Saccharomyces cerevisiae S288C: one gene and its partners. The gene in region 1 interacts genetically with each later gene. Each region holds a gene or a part of one and is shown on either strand. Other genes may lie near its edges.

What was found.
Region 2: mutations in EGD1 (region 1) and YGL081W together harm fitness more than expected from each alone (negative genetic interaction), as found in Saccharomyces cerevisiae (2 studies listed by BioGRID).
Region 3: mutations in EGD1 (region 1) and YDR248C together harm fitness more than expected from each alone (negative genetic interaction), as found in Saccharomyces cerevisiae (2 studies listed by BioGRID).
Region 4: mutations in EGD1 (region 1) and ATP10 together harm fitness more than expected from each alone (negative genetic interaction), as found in Saccharomyces cerevisiae (2 studies listed by BioGRID).

What each region holds. Positions count from the first base shown.
Region 1 is NC_001148.4:480,862-483,768, forward strand, and holds EGD1 (Egd1p), read right to left. Parts: upstream 1,041-2,907; coding exon 567-1,040; downstream 1-566. Other genes in the region: MET31 (Met31p), read left to right, coding at 1-207; H(+)-exporting P2-type ATPase PMA2, read left to right, coding at 1,982-2,907. UniProt on the Saccharomyces cerevisiae protein: Component of the nascent polypeptide-associated complex (NAC), a dynamic component of the ribosomal exit tunnel, protecting the emerging polypeptides from interaction with other cytoplasmic proteins to ensure appropriate nascent protein targeting.
Region 2 is NC_001139.9:355,691-358,909, reverse strand, and holds YGL081W (uncharacterized protein), read right to left. Parts: upstream 1,534-3,219; coding exon 571-1,533; downstream 1-570. Other genes in the region: pyruvate transporter MPC1, read right to left, coding at 1-274; MIY3 (Miy3p), read right to left, coding at 1,938-3,083.
Region 3 is NC_001136.10:957,244-960,254, forward strand, and holds YDR248C (gluconokinase), read right to left. Parts: upstream 1,097-3,011; coding exon 515-1,096; downstream 1-514. Other genes in the region: putative serine/threonine protein kinase VHS1, read left to right, coding at 1-155; YDR249C (uncharacterized protein), read right to left, coding at 1,438-2,559.
Region 4 is NC_001144.5:905,253-908,481, forward strand, and holds ATP10 (Atp10p), read left to right. Parts: upstream 1-1,826; coding exon 1,827-2,666; downstream 2,667-3,229. Other genes in the region: ART10 (Art10p), read right to left, coding at 1-1,053; SUMO ligase CST9, read left to right, coding at 2,698-3,229. UniProt on the Saccharomyces cerevisiae protein: Essential for the assembly of the mitochondrial F1-F0 complex.

The DNA of each region.
Region 1 (2,907 bases):
CTGAGAAGACATGAAAAGGTACACTCACTCGTGCTGCCGCATATTTGCTCAAACTGTGGCAAAGGGTTTGCCAGGAAGGATGCTCTAAAAAGACATTCTAACACACTGACCTGTCAAAGAAACAGAAAGAAACTAAGTGAAGGTTCAGACGTTGATGTAGATGAGCTCATCAAGGATGCGATAAAGAATGGTACCGGCCTGTTGTAAGGCTAGAGGAAAACGTATTTGTCTCCATCAGCACACCTACACATACATATATAGATAGATATATACTTTAGCCATTGAGATAAGTAGAATAAAAAAACGTTGTAATATTCCGATACAGTTAGTGACATGTTCTCTACTTTTGCCAATTTTTTGCGCACAAAGTGGTGACGTACAAGTTCATCATTTCACGTGTGCAGCATAGTGTGGTATATTGTTTTTTTATATTTTATTTTTTATTTTTTTTTTTTTGCAGAAAACAGTGTTTGTATTATATGCTTTAGATATGCTAAAAAAAATGAAAAAAAATGGAACAAAATATGTGTTTTTTTATTTAACGTTAAAATTAAAGATTAAGTTATTTATTCGACGTCAGCATCAAAAGTTTGACCTTCAACTAACTCTGGAATAGCTTCATCCTTCTTTTCAGCATCAGCTGGAGCCTTGGCTTCGTGCTTTTCCATTTGGGCAGCCAATTGAGACAAGGCTTGGATGGCTTCAGGGCCCAATTGAGAGATAATACCTGGGAACAAATCTTGCAAGTTCTTTTCCTGTGGTAGACCGTAGAATACAGAAGTGTTGTGTTGAGCAGCAACTTGGACACCGACCTTGTTGAAGTGCATGACCTTACCGTCGTCCTTGAAAAAGTTGGCTTCGGCGACGTTGTCAATGGTGACAGCGTGCAACTTAGCTAATTGACTTTGCAACTTGGTGTCATCCTTGTTGGCACCGGCAGAAGAGCCTGCCTTCTTGTTAAGCTTTCTTCTAGTACCACCAACTTTGTTGTTAGCAGACAACTTTTGTAGCTTAGCTAATTTTTCTTGGTCAATTGGCATTATGAATTATGAGTCGCGTCTGGTGTGAGATGTTCTATTCTTAAACCTCCCTAGAAAGAATATTCGCTCTCTTGTGACAAAGGAGGGGTTACTACTTAACAAGCAATTGCAGCTGTTTCCACTACGAAATCTTCCAATGTCAACGAAAAAAATTCAAAAATTTTCTGCTTTTTTTTTCAACATCTGCCGTACTAAATGATTCCACAATAATCCATCATATACCATTACCCTGATTCCCATCGAAGAAAAGGCGGTGTCCCCTTACCCGTCCGCTCATGCCAAGAGATTAATTCATAACCGCTCTTCCTTGGATCAGAAGTGAACATATGAAGTTGCAACTACTACATACTTACTACCGTAGTCCATCATCAAGGACCCAAACATTCACGACTCCAGCGCGCCACGTTCTTCGCCATACTGCTTAACATTTTGGTACGAGTGCGAATTAGGGAAGTCGATGATAAAATAGAATATGCGAAAAAGAGGAAGAGCAGCCGTGAGAAAAAAGAAAAAAAAAGGCCTAAGGTATTCTCTACTCCAAAATCGTCGAGGGAGGGCAAAAGAAATTTTTTTTGTTTAAGGGAATTGCGAAGTCAATTGATTGATGAAGTAGCTTCTCTGGAAAAATGGCGGACAGACGCTGCTCAAATAACCGTCGAAGGGGGAAAGGTTATCGGTGGAAACATATTTGTAAGTACATAATAGTGAATTTACTTCTTGTCGGCGTCCCCTAAACGTAATTGGCGGTGTGATGGTACTTCGTTATATAAAGGTGTGTAATATCCTCTTTTACCATCTATTATTTCTTCCAGCATTTCTTGCTGGATAACCTACTGTATCCAAGCTACTGGGCTTTTTTAAACATACCCATAACTTTTTTTTTTTCATTTTTCGTTGCTGTGTGCTAGTACAATTTAAGCAAAAGGAAACTGTTTTGCGTTATGTCTTCCACTGAAGCAAAGCAATACAAGGAGAAACCCTCGAAAGAGTACCTCCATGCCAGTGATGGCGATGACCCTGCAAATAATTCTGCCGCTTCTTCGTCATCTTCGTCTTCTACATCAACTTCCGCCTCGTCATCGGCTGCAGCCGTTCCACGGAAGGCCGCAGCCGCTTCTGCCGCTGATGATTCTGACTCAGATGAAGATATAGACCAATTGATTGATGAACTACAATCTAACTACGGTGAGGGTGATGAATCTGGTGAAGAAGAAGTACGTACTGATGGGGTGCACGCTGGCCAAAGGGTTGTTCCTGAAAAGGACCTTTCTACGGACCCTGCGTATGGTTTGACTTCGGATGAAGTCGCCAGGAGAAGAAAGAAATATGGGTTAAATCAAATGGCTGAGGAGAATGAATCGTTGATTGTGAAGTTTTTGATGTTCTTCGTAGGGCCTATTCAATTCGTTATGGAGGCTGCTGCTATTTTGGCTGCCGGTTTGTCTGATTGGGTTGATGTCGGTGTCATCTGTGCTTTACTGCTATTAAACGCATCTGTCGGATTTATTCAAGAATTCCAGGCAGGTTCCATCGTAGACGAGCTGAAAAAGACGTTGGCCAATACTGCAACAGTTATTAGAGATGGCCAATTGATCGAAATTCCGGCTAATGAGGTAGTTCCTGGTGAGATTTTGCAATTGGAAAGTGGCACAATTGCTCCCGCAGATGGTCGTATTGTCACTGAAGACTGTTTTTTGCAGATCGATCAATCGGCCATCACTGGTGAATCCTTAGCCGCTGAAAAGCATTACGGTGATGAGGTGTTCTCCTCATCCACTGTGAAAACCGGCGAGGCTTTTATGGTTGTTACTGCCACTGGTGACAATACCTTCGTCGGTAGGGCTGCCGCCTTAGTGGGGCAGGCTTC
Region 2 (3,219 bases), on another chromosome or scaffold:
CATTAATAAGGTGGCATCCAAACAGTAAGTAGTTTTTGGGTGATACTGAAAGAGCATACTTCATGAAAACACCTGAATAGGTAACTAAAGCAAAAGTCATTGGGCCAGAGATTAGTGTAGGGTCTTTTTTCAGATCATATATAGCAGCAATTGGGATACCGAAATTTGATACGGGACCCCAGAAGTGTGTTGTGAAAATATATTTCAAAGTTTCTTTATTGATGTATTTTTGAAGGAATGAGCGTGCTGCAGCGCGTTGAACCGGTTGAGACATTCTTTTTGATCACAGTGCAATAAAATCTATACGTATATATGTAGATGTATTGACGTTTGCTGATTGGCAAGTGAGTGTTTAAATAGATTATCGGTGGAGAAAGGTGGAGACCGCAGGTTGTAGTGGCTATTCCTTCTTTGCCAGAAAGCACTTGTCATTTCGCCTCGGTTAAAGCGGGGGGCCGTCGCAAAAGAGAACTTTACAGGCCACGTCCAGAGCAAAAAACTCCACTTATTTGACTAGCCATGAAGCTATAATACCACCCAGCAATATAGAACTGGGTTATAAAATTATATTTAATTCGATAGTAGGCGGTCAAAAATCAAGATTACTATTAGTAGTAACCACATACTATTGGAGTGCTGAGGGGTAATAATTTTCTTGTTTTTCGAGAAGCAAGTAAGCGTCTTCTTTATCTTCGTCCTGCCCTTTATTCTTTTTACTCTAATAATTTCAAGTTCTATTTCTCCTTCCTCATCATCCCCTTCTTCTTTTTCTTCTTCTTCTTCTTTTTCTTCTGTGGTGTCTGTGTCAGTGCAAACTTCGATTTCTTCTTCGAAAGAACTCGTTTCATGTATTTTTCTATCAAAGTTACTGCAGATCTTCTGGTCTTGCTTGCTGCCTCTTTTTCTCAACGAAAGGATAGAAAACCTACCACCTCGAGTCAATATGGTGTTCGTTTCATGACACTCATCTGCAACTTCCGTTTGCGTACTCGCTTCCGACAATCCGTACCAACTTGAATCGCTATCTTCTGTGGATGTTGCAGAATGAATAGGGAAAGATGACACTGTATTATTCTTTCCAAATGTTACATTTGTAATAGTGCACTTTACGATTTCCCTTGCTTCATCGAAATACTCAAGTTCAATTCGGAAAATTAACTTGGCGGCTAAATGATGGTTGTCGCGAAAAGGATGATTATCAATTGCAATCAAACCAAAAGCATCACCATTTTTCAAATCAATTTCATCATTTGGCCCATCAGACACTAAGTTTACTGTACCAGTCTTGTTATTCAAATCCCGAATGCAGATGCGGAGTTGTTCTATAGAGGGAACTCCTTCAATTTTGGGTATTGGTGTCTTTATACATAGGACAGCATGCTGTCTGCTTAGTTCTGGCTCATCAAAATATAGATTGTACGGCTTACATAGACTATTTTGATCAAATGAACTCGAACGGCCAATGGTTTTACACAAACCTTGTGTTGTTTCCGTATCTTCTATAGCGAAAACAAAAGTTCTTATATCACCCATGATTTCCCCAGTTCCTTCCCTCAGTTTCAACTTTATGCAACTGCCTAGTGATTATTTTTTTTTCAAGTAATTTGTAAAACTCAATACTATGAGCCACTTTGATTGCTTTAGTATTCTGTGAAGATATCCCAAAAATGTTAATTTCCGCTGTAGTGCATTATTCGGGGCTTCTTGAGCCGTTTTGTTTGGACAAATTTAGGAGAAGGAATCTGTAAAAAAAAATAAATCATTGGTATTATCAGGTTATATATCACAAATAGGCCAGTTGAACGCCATGAAGGAGTAAAATATACATTTACAAAATTAAAAAGTGGTAGAGTTAAAAATAAGCGCTAGCGTGGTGACACCCACAAAAAAAATAATTCTATAAGAAAGATACAAAAGACGAAAAAGAAATCATGGTTTCACATAATTACACAGTTTTTTTTCAACTTGTCTCTTTTCTTTTCTTTATTACTCCCATTAAAGGGAAGGAACTTGTTTTTCTTTGAATTTTTTTCAGGTCTTTCAAACCTTTCCCTTTGATGATTTCTACCGTTATTAGCATAACCATTTTGCATGTTATTTGCCGCACGCATATCTTCTTGTTCCTGTAACCTCCTAGCTAGTTCCTCATCATCTTCGATTTGTTGAACACCGCTTGCTCCACTATTAACTTGGTTGCTAGTTACATGCCCTGTATTCTGGTCACTGAATGGGTTAGAAATGTAGGACTCATTTTGCCCGGTAGCAGTAGTTTCTGTTCTTTCCAGACTTGTGGGAATGAAGTTGCCCGTGTAGTAAGAATCCTGCGATCCATTCACGGATTTAAGCGACTGCCAGTTTATGTCCTTGCGATTTCTGTAAGTAGGATCCGTGACCAAAGTAAACAATTCGCCATTGTTTTTATATAATGTGCAAAAGTGATCATTTCTAAAAAGCACGGCATACGATCTTTCTACTAAAATTTCTCTGAGATGAGTTAGACCATATTCAGTCAATTGTGTGGCAGATCTTGCCAGAAACGATTTTAAGTAAGGTGCATCAGATTGGATTTGCTCGCTGTTTTCAAATTGGGCATTATTCTTTTGGATCTCATACGACTGTACCAAAACTTTTTGCGCGCCCATATAAGAATATTTGGACACATGTTCGTAAGAGTTCGGATCATTGTCCCCATCTATTATCCATCCATGAACGATGCCGACATTGTAGAGCCTGAAAATCGACATTTCTACGCCGTCCTCAAAAGATCCGTTAAATTCTGGGTTGATGTTCAATCCGCTATATAATTGTGGTAGGATTTGGAGTAGCTGTTGTTTGTCCACATCTGTACCATTCGGATTTTGAACGCCCATGTCGGCTAGAGTTTGCACAAGTTCGTTTAAAGTAACAGTTTCCTTGCCTCTCACTAGTCTGGAAATTTCTTGGGCATAGCGAGCATGGGCAGGTGATATCAATAATACGTTAGCTAGTGCAATTAGCGCGCATTCACCTTGCCCATTTTGAAGTAATATTTTAAACTGAGTGCCATTTATTTGAACATTTTTGGTTAGAAATGTAACATCCATATTGGCTAATTCCTGTGAACGATTGTATACGGACTGAAAAATTGCCCCAGTCTTGATTTTAGCAAATTTGGTTTTGTTTGCTTCCTCTGTACCTCCTTCATGTTTGGTTGTTGTACGACTGTTTCATCCTTTCTTT
Region 3 (3,011 bases), on another chromosome or scaffold:
TCGGAACGCTAGACACAGACACTGGATTGCATTCTTCGTTCACAAGCACTTCTTGCGAGTCCGATAACGAATGTTCTAAGATTTCCAACAAATTTTCCTTGTTCGAAAAAAAATTCAACGAACTTCGCATGAGTTCCTCTTCTTTAACTAACTAACCCCCTCCTTTTTGGCACAAAAGTGTACTACACATCTGTTTTAAGCCCACAATTGATAGACCTTCTCTTGATGATCATCTGTTTTCCCGAAAATATTACTTGCCAAAGCAAGTTGTAGTTATATTCACACTTCCGTTATGACCCCCTCATCCGTTTAATGTTATTTGTTTTTATGGTATTCCCTTTATTCATTTTTTTTCTTGCTTTTTTTTGTTGATCCCTGTAACCCCTTTTTTTTTTTTGGAAGTTGCTATTATTATTCATTCACATTTGTTCTGTCTTTGTTAATTTTCCAGGTCACCGTATTTAATTTCTATATAACTGTTTCTAATATTTACTTCGTTTTATCCAAGCGTTATTTACTCAATATTCAAAACTTTACTTTTTACCACCTGTATAACATCTTTTTCAATTTGATAAAACGTTTTGAAATCTAAGGGAACAATGTCACAGTCAGTTTCGTCGTTGATGTCTGGTAACTCCAGATCCCTGAATTGAGACTCCATCATATCAGCTTTCATGAAATGACCCTTCCTTGTTTTGAGCCTTTTCAGAACTTCTATTTTACTTGCATACAAAAAGATAAAATGGAACTCCGATTCAGGGCATGTGTGCCTAATCAAATCTCTGTATTTCTTCTTCAAGCTCGAGCAAGCAACAATTGACAAATGCTCCTTAGTGCTTGCTGCAGCTTTTGTAGATTCTACGGCAACTTTTTTCAACCAGTCCCAACGGTCGTCGTCATTTAATGGAATCCCTCTTGTCATCTTTTCTACGTTGGCAGGCGGGTGTAAATCATCACCTTCGATGAATTTCAAATCCGGGTATATATCTTTAAATTCATGGATTAGTTCACCTGCAATGGTTGATTTTCCTGTACCTGCAGTACCTGCCAATACAATAACCTTAAATTTCCCCATAGTTTTGTGTTTCTCTGTCATCAACTGCGTTGTCCATCCATACGCTTACTGAGACACTATGAAAGCCTGTTTAGTCTTCGGAAAGCTATTTATTGCTTGCTACTTGAAAACCTTTTGATTATCGATATTTTTTAACGGGACCTTATATAATTATTGCTTGGAAACTAACGGTGTTATAATTTTTGACAAACTAATTAGCGACGTAATGAAAGCAGAAAAACCGCAAGAATATGAGAAAGGGAAAATATCAAAGAAAACAAAATATATTCCTTATATAACACCATCTTTTGTACATAAATGAATTGGCAAGCACATATTGTGCATGCATGCAAGGGGCAGAATCTTAATACTAAGTAATTTAATTATGCAAACATAACCCCGTATTGAGGCCTTCCGCCGCATTTAACGACCAAATCTATGAGTTTTAAATCAGACACCCGCCTTAACAGGTCCCATATAGTGCTATCAGATAAAAGTTCGTTTTCTGTCAATGATGGATTGTAATAATATTTCAGGATAAATTTCTCTATGAGCTGTAATCTTGATCTATTCTGCAAAAAAAACTCAAAGTTCAGACTCCCTAGTGAATCAGCATACGTGAAATATAATAAAAATATTACAGTCGTAAGGGGTTCAATAGACGCTAGTTTTTGCACTGTAGATCCAGAGACGTATAGGATTAAATCTATTGATTCAAATAGAGAAACAAAGGTAAACTTAGGGCTTAGGTCAGTTCCTTGCATATCAATACCTTGAAAAAACCATTCTATAAAAGGGGATATCACATCATATGGATTCTTCAAAGTAAAATGATTACCTAGAGACTTCACACATTCCCTACGTGTTAAAAAAATATGCATATTGTTGTAAAAGTTTTTAGGGAAGTCTTCTTTCGATGTATCTTCAGTGTTCATTGAACACAAGTCTAGCTCTTTAGATGTATCAAAATCGCCATTCTGCATATCTTGATAGTGCTTTCTGGGAAGAAAATGAGAAATATTTTTCAACAGGATAGGATGATGATCTAGTAGTAGTCTAAAAAAAGTTTCATGCTCAAATAATGTAGGGATCACAATATTTCTTGAATAAGCTTTTATATTACTTACGCCAAACTCCAGGGGATCGAAAAGATATTTTTCCCACATGATCTTCGATAATAATGAAAAAGATGGCTTCAAGCAACTATAGAAGAACCTGTTCAAGGTGACCATCGACGGTTCACCCTTTGTGAAAACGAAAATATGTTGAATAATCTCTACAGGTAAATCTTGCAAAGTTAGCTTTTGATGATGCCTAAGTTTCTTCGCAGGAAGCCTGATAGTCCTTTGATCTTCCGATATTGGCCTCTTGGATGAAACCCGGGTCTCTAAGAGATGCACATGGTGCTGCAAGTTTATCGAAGACGATGCATACCGATGCAAAGGAAGTGCATGTTTCTTTCTCTTATCATGACGGCTAGAATATCCTGTCAAAATATAACCCATGGCCACTTATTCTAAAAATACACTGCGTGAAAAAAGCACTGCTTACTTTAACAACATTAGTCCTCTTTAAATATATTTCATTACTCATCGCAAACTGAACAATTCTTGATGCTTAATTCTTACTAGCTGCAAAAAAGACAAGATGAAACGCGGTGTATGGTTGGACGATATAGTCTTATCCTAAATACACACAACATATATTGCGTAATAAAGAGATCTTCCTATCTATAGCACAATTTGAAGTTGAAAAGGCGTATCTAAAATGCTAATACTAAACAAGGCATCATGTTTTTGTCCCATTCACGTAGCACTGGCGATTTGCTTCCATATTCTTCTGTGTACAATAATAGCTTGGGTGGCTTTTTTCACAATGGGCTCTACGCGAAATTGTCGCAGCCCCCTGTTGGCCGTGCTGTGGGCCATTCTCGAGACTAGAATGAAACAGAAATCTA
Region 4 (3,229 bases), on another chromosome or scaffold:
TACATAGACCTTGTCAAAATTTTGGCTGCCAGACCTAAACAAGTAGTCTTTCCTGTATATTTGCTTCAAATCTCGACTTCTAACCTCTATTCTCATATTGCTTTCCCCATCAGGCAACCCCATTTTATAAGTAGATGGGAAAACTTTCATACCATTTACTAGGCGAGTAGATTGTCTTGTTGATGTGACTGATGATACCGGTCTCGATCTAATGTCGCCGTTTTCTATCAATATAGAATTAGCTTGAGAAAAGTTCCTGTCACTTTTTATATATCCGACTCCATTAACGACTTTGACGTCCTTTGATGGCACCTTTAAATTTGAACTATTGAAAAATTCATTGTTGGTGACCATACTATTTCCTCTACTATTGTTACTGAAGGCATTAAGTTCTTCATTGTCATCTTCATCAGGTTCTATAATAAGATCTTTTGGCTCAGGTATAAATTCGAACGTCTCGATTTCCCTTATCAGTTTATGGAATGGCTTAAACCAAGATGAAGATTTCCCTAGCTCTAATTGAACTTGCACCATATATATAACTTTTCCAAAAGAGTAAAAATACAAATCCAGATTATCGATTTTATTAAATTCTTGCCAATGACTATTGAACGTAGGTGGGAGTCGGGCATTACTTCTTGTCACAAACGCTACTGTCTTTGCCGTATGATTTTTCAGACATTCAGGCTTTCTGGGAAACTTGTCAAATTGAAAGCTATAATTATATGAACCTGGTTTAACTTTGAACGGCTTGGAGGAGCCATCAAGAGCATTCCATACATTATCTGGAGGGAAAACTCTCTGTTCGAATTTCATTAATGTATGAAAGGATTTGTTGTCTTGGCCCGGCATCATCATGCCATTCTGTTGAAACATGTACTCTTGATCAATTTTTGTTAAGGTCTCTGAGAATCCTTTTAGAATGACGGAAATTTTCCTTATAGATAGCGCTTTTGTTAACTGAAGACTAACTATCCCTGACATTTGATCATTAGAGCTATAAAACTCCCCGTTGTACGGTGGGTTTAAGGATATTGAAATTTTTGGAGCCATGGTTTGACAAACTGTATGGTTCTCAACCTTCTCTAATCAAAAGCAGAATCTTAAATATAAACACTCACAGAATATCCGTTGGTCAATGAAGTAATTCTCCTTTGTACTGGCTGCTTTTTCTCCTCTAGTTTATGTAATTCTACTTTTGGATGGGTGCGACTGCTTTTAATTGATTGAGTGGCGGTGTTAGAAGGGCTGTAGAGTCGAAGGCTTGTTTCTCTCTTACGCACCTCTTGTGAAAAGGGCGTGCACCTTCCCCAGGACCCTCTCTCACCCTCAACCCGCATTTTGCTGAGAATTTTCACCAAGGCCCTAGGTGATATTAGATTCCACCTGACTAATTGCATTACAGCCGACCCAAGGCAATATCAGTTTAATAAAATATCATGTATCTCACCCTCTTCTTGGTATTAGTAAAGAGACGCCTGATCTTGTAACAGTGGTGAAGATTGTACTAGAGCAGAATCAAGAATTTAAAAAGTGTAAAGGCAAGGCAGAGGCGATGTACATAAAACTTCGAAGTAAGAAATATTTAATAGTTCTCGCCACATCACTATGCAGCTATATAAAAACTACTATAAACGTTTGTTTTGTTCCTTACGCACAATATCCTTGCCTAGAAATCGTTTTTGAAATTTAAATTTTTATTACCATTTATTTGATTCGCCTTCAGAAAAATATGGAAGAGTGCATATTTAAAAAGGACTATTTCAGCATATAGTAAAAGTCAGGTTATTTGTTTATTTGCGATATCAGAGTAACTTAAACTAACTATGCAGGGCACTTTTAAAAGGTTTTACCATCCCACGCTTACGCGGATGTCCTTCTTGGATAAATTCCTCAAGCCTATGATGGCAACGGCTTCCCCAAAGGAATACCAGATCAAACAACTGGTCAAGCCAATAGGCTTAACACAAGCACCAAGGAAAAGCACCAAATACTCCCAGGGGAACTCTTTGAGGGATATGTTTGATTCGGAAAAGACAAACCACAGAGTTAAAGAGTTGGCCGTTGAATTCAGCAAATCTGGACTTTATGACGTGCAAGTCTTCCAAAAGACAAAGGGGAAATTGTTTATAGCTCCAGTTTCATATTGGAAAGAAGATAAAGCTTTGTTTTTTCCTCATTTGATAGGAACGGCAATGGATGGTACGAAACAACAGAATATCGAGGATATGTTAAGGGGTAAAACCAGTATAGTGAGGTTATTTAGTACAGCATCTGGCGATAAGTTGAGTAGTTCATACTTCCAAGGAATCGTAGACGATAACAAAAAAACTGACTACTTGACTGAAGCTGATGCGCGTTTAAGTTTAAATGACAGTAACGTCCAAATCATCGAGGTCAATCTTGTAGAAAACGCTGTGAAAAGTGCTCTAGTGAAAACGCTTGCTCGTTGGGCCAATCGCGTTCCATCCTGGCGCCAGCCATTTTATTTCGAATGTTCTAGAGGCCAATGGCCATTTTCCGTCAGGGAAGAGCTCTTTTGCAATAATGTCTTTTCTGGATACGTCTTTCTTGTGGACCAGCAGTTAAAAATTAGGTGGGCAGCTTGCGGGGAGGCTACTCCATCTGAAAAGGAAGCATTGTGGAAGTTTGCCAAACGTCTGTGAAGTTGACGCTTTGTGCGGCGGCCAACAAGGGATGGGCGGCTATTTGGCGATCGTGTTCATTCCCCAAACTAACACGAAGAGCATGAGAGAGAAAAAACAAAAGTGCTTGAAACAGGTAAGACGTTTATCATTGATATCACCAAAGAAATATATAATGCCGGATTCTATTTTTGAACAGCCCTTTGTTTACTGTGGTGTTTGCCACAGAAGAACATCGCATGGAGATCCATTGAGGCTGACCTCATGTGCTCATATCCTCTGTTCGCAGCATTCTCCATTAACATCAAAGGTGTGTCCTATATGCCGTTCGAGCGATATCTCCATCATTAACCTTGTGGAATCTAAACAGCTGCCTACCGACATTAGGATTTTTTTTGAGCCACTGCCCCCACTTTTGGAGTCGTTATATAATGTTTCCCAATTCCAACTGAATGGGCTTTCGAAACAGTGTCAATACTATCAAAATCATTGTTTAAAGTTGAGAGAAAAATGTGCAAGACAACAGCAGCTGCTATATCAGGCCAAAATAGAGTTGGATTCTATGGCGATTCTTAAGAAAAGAA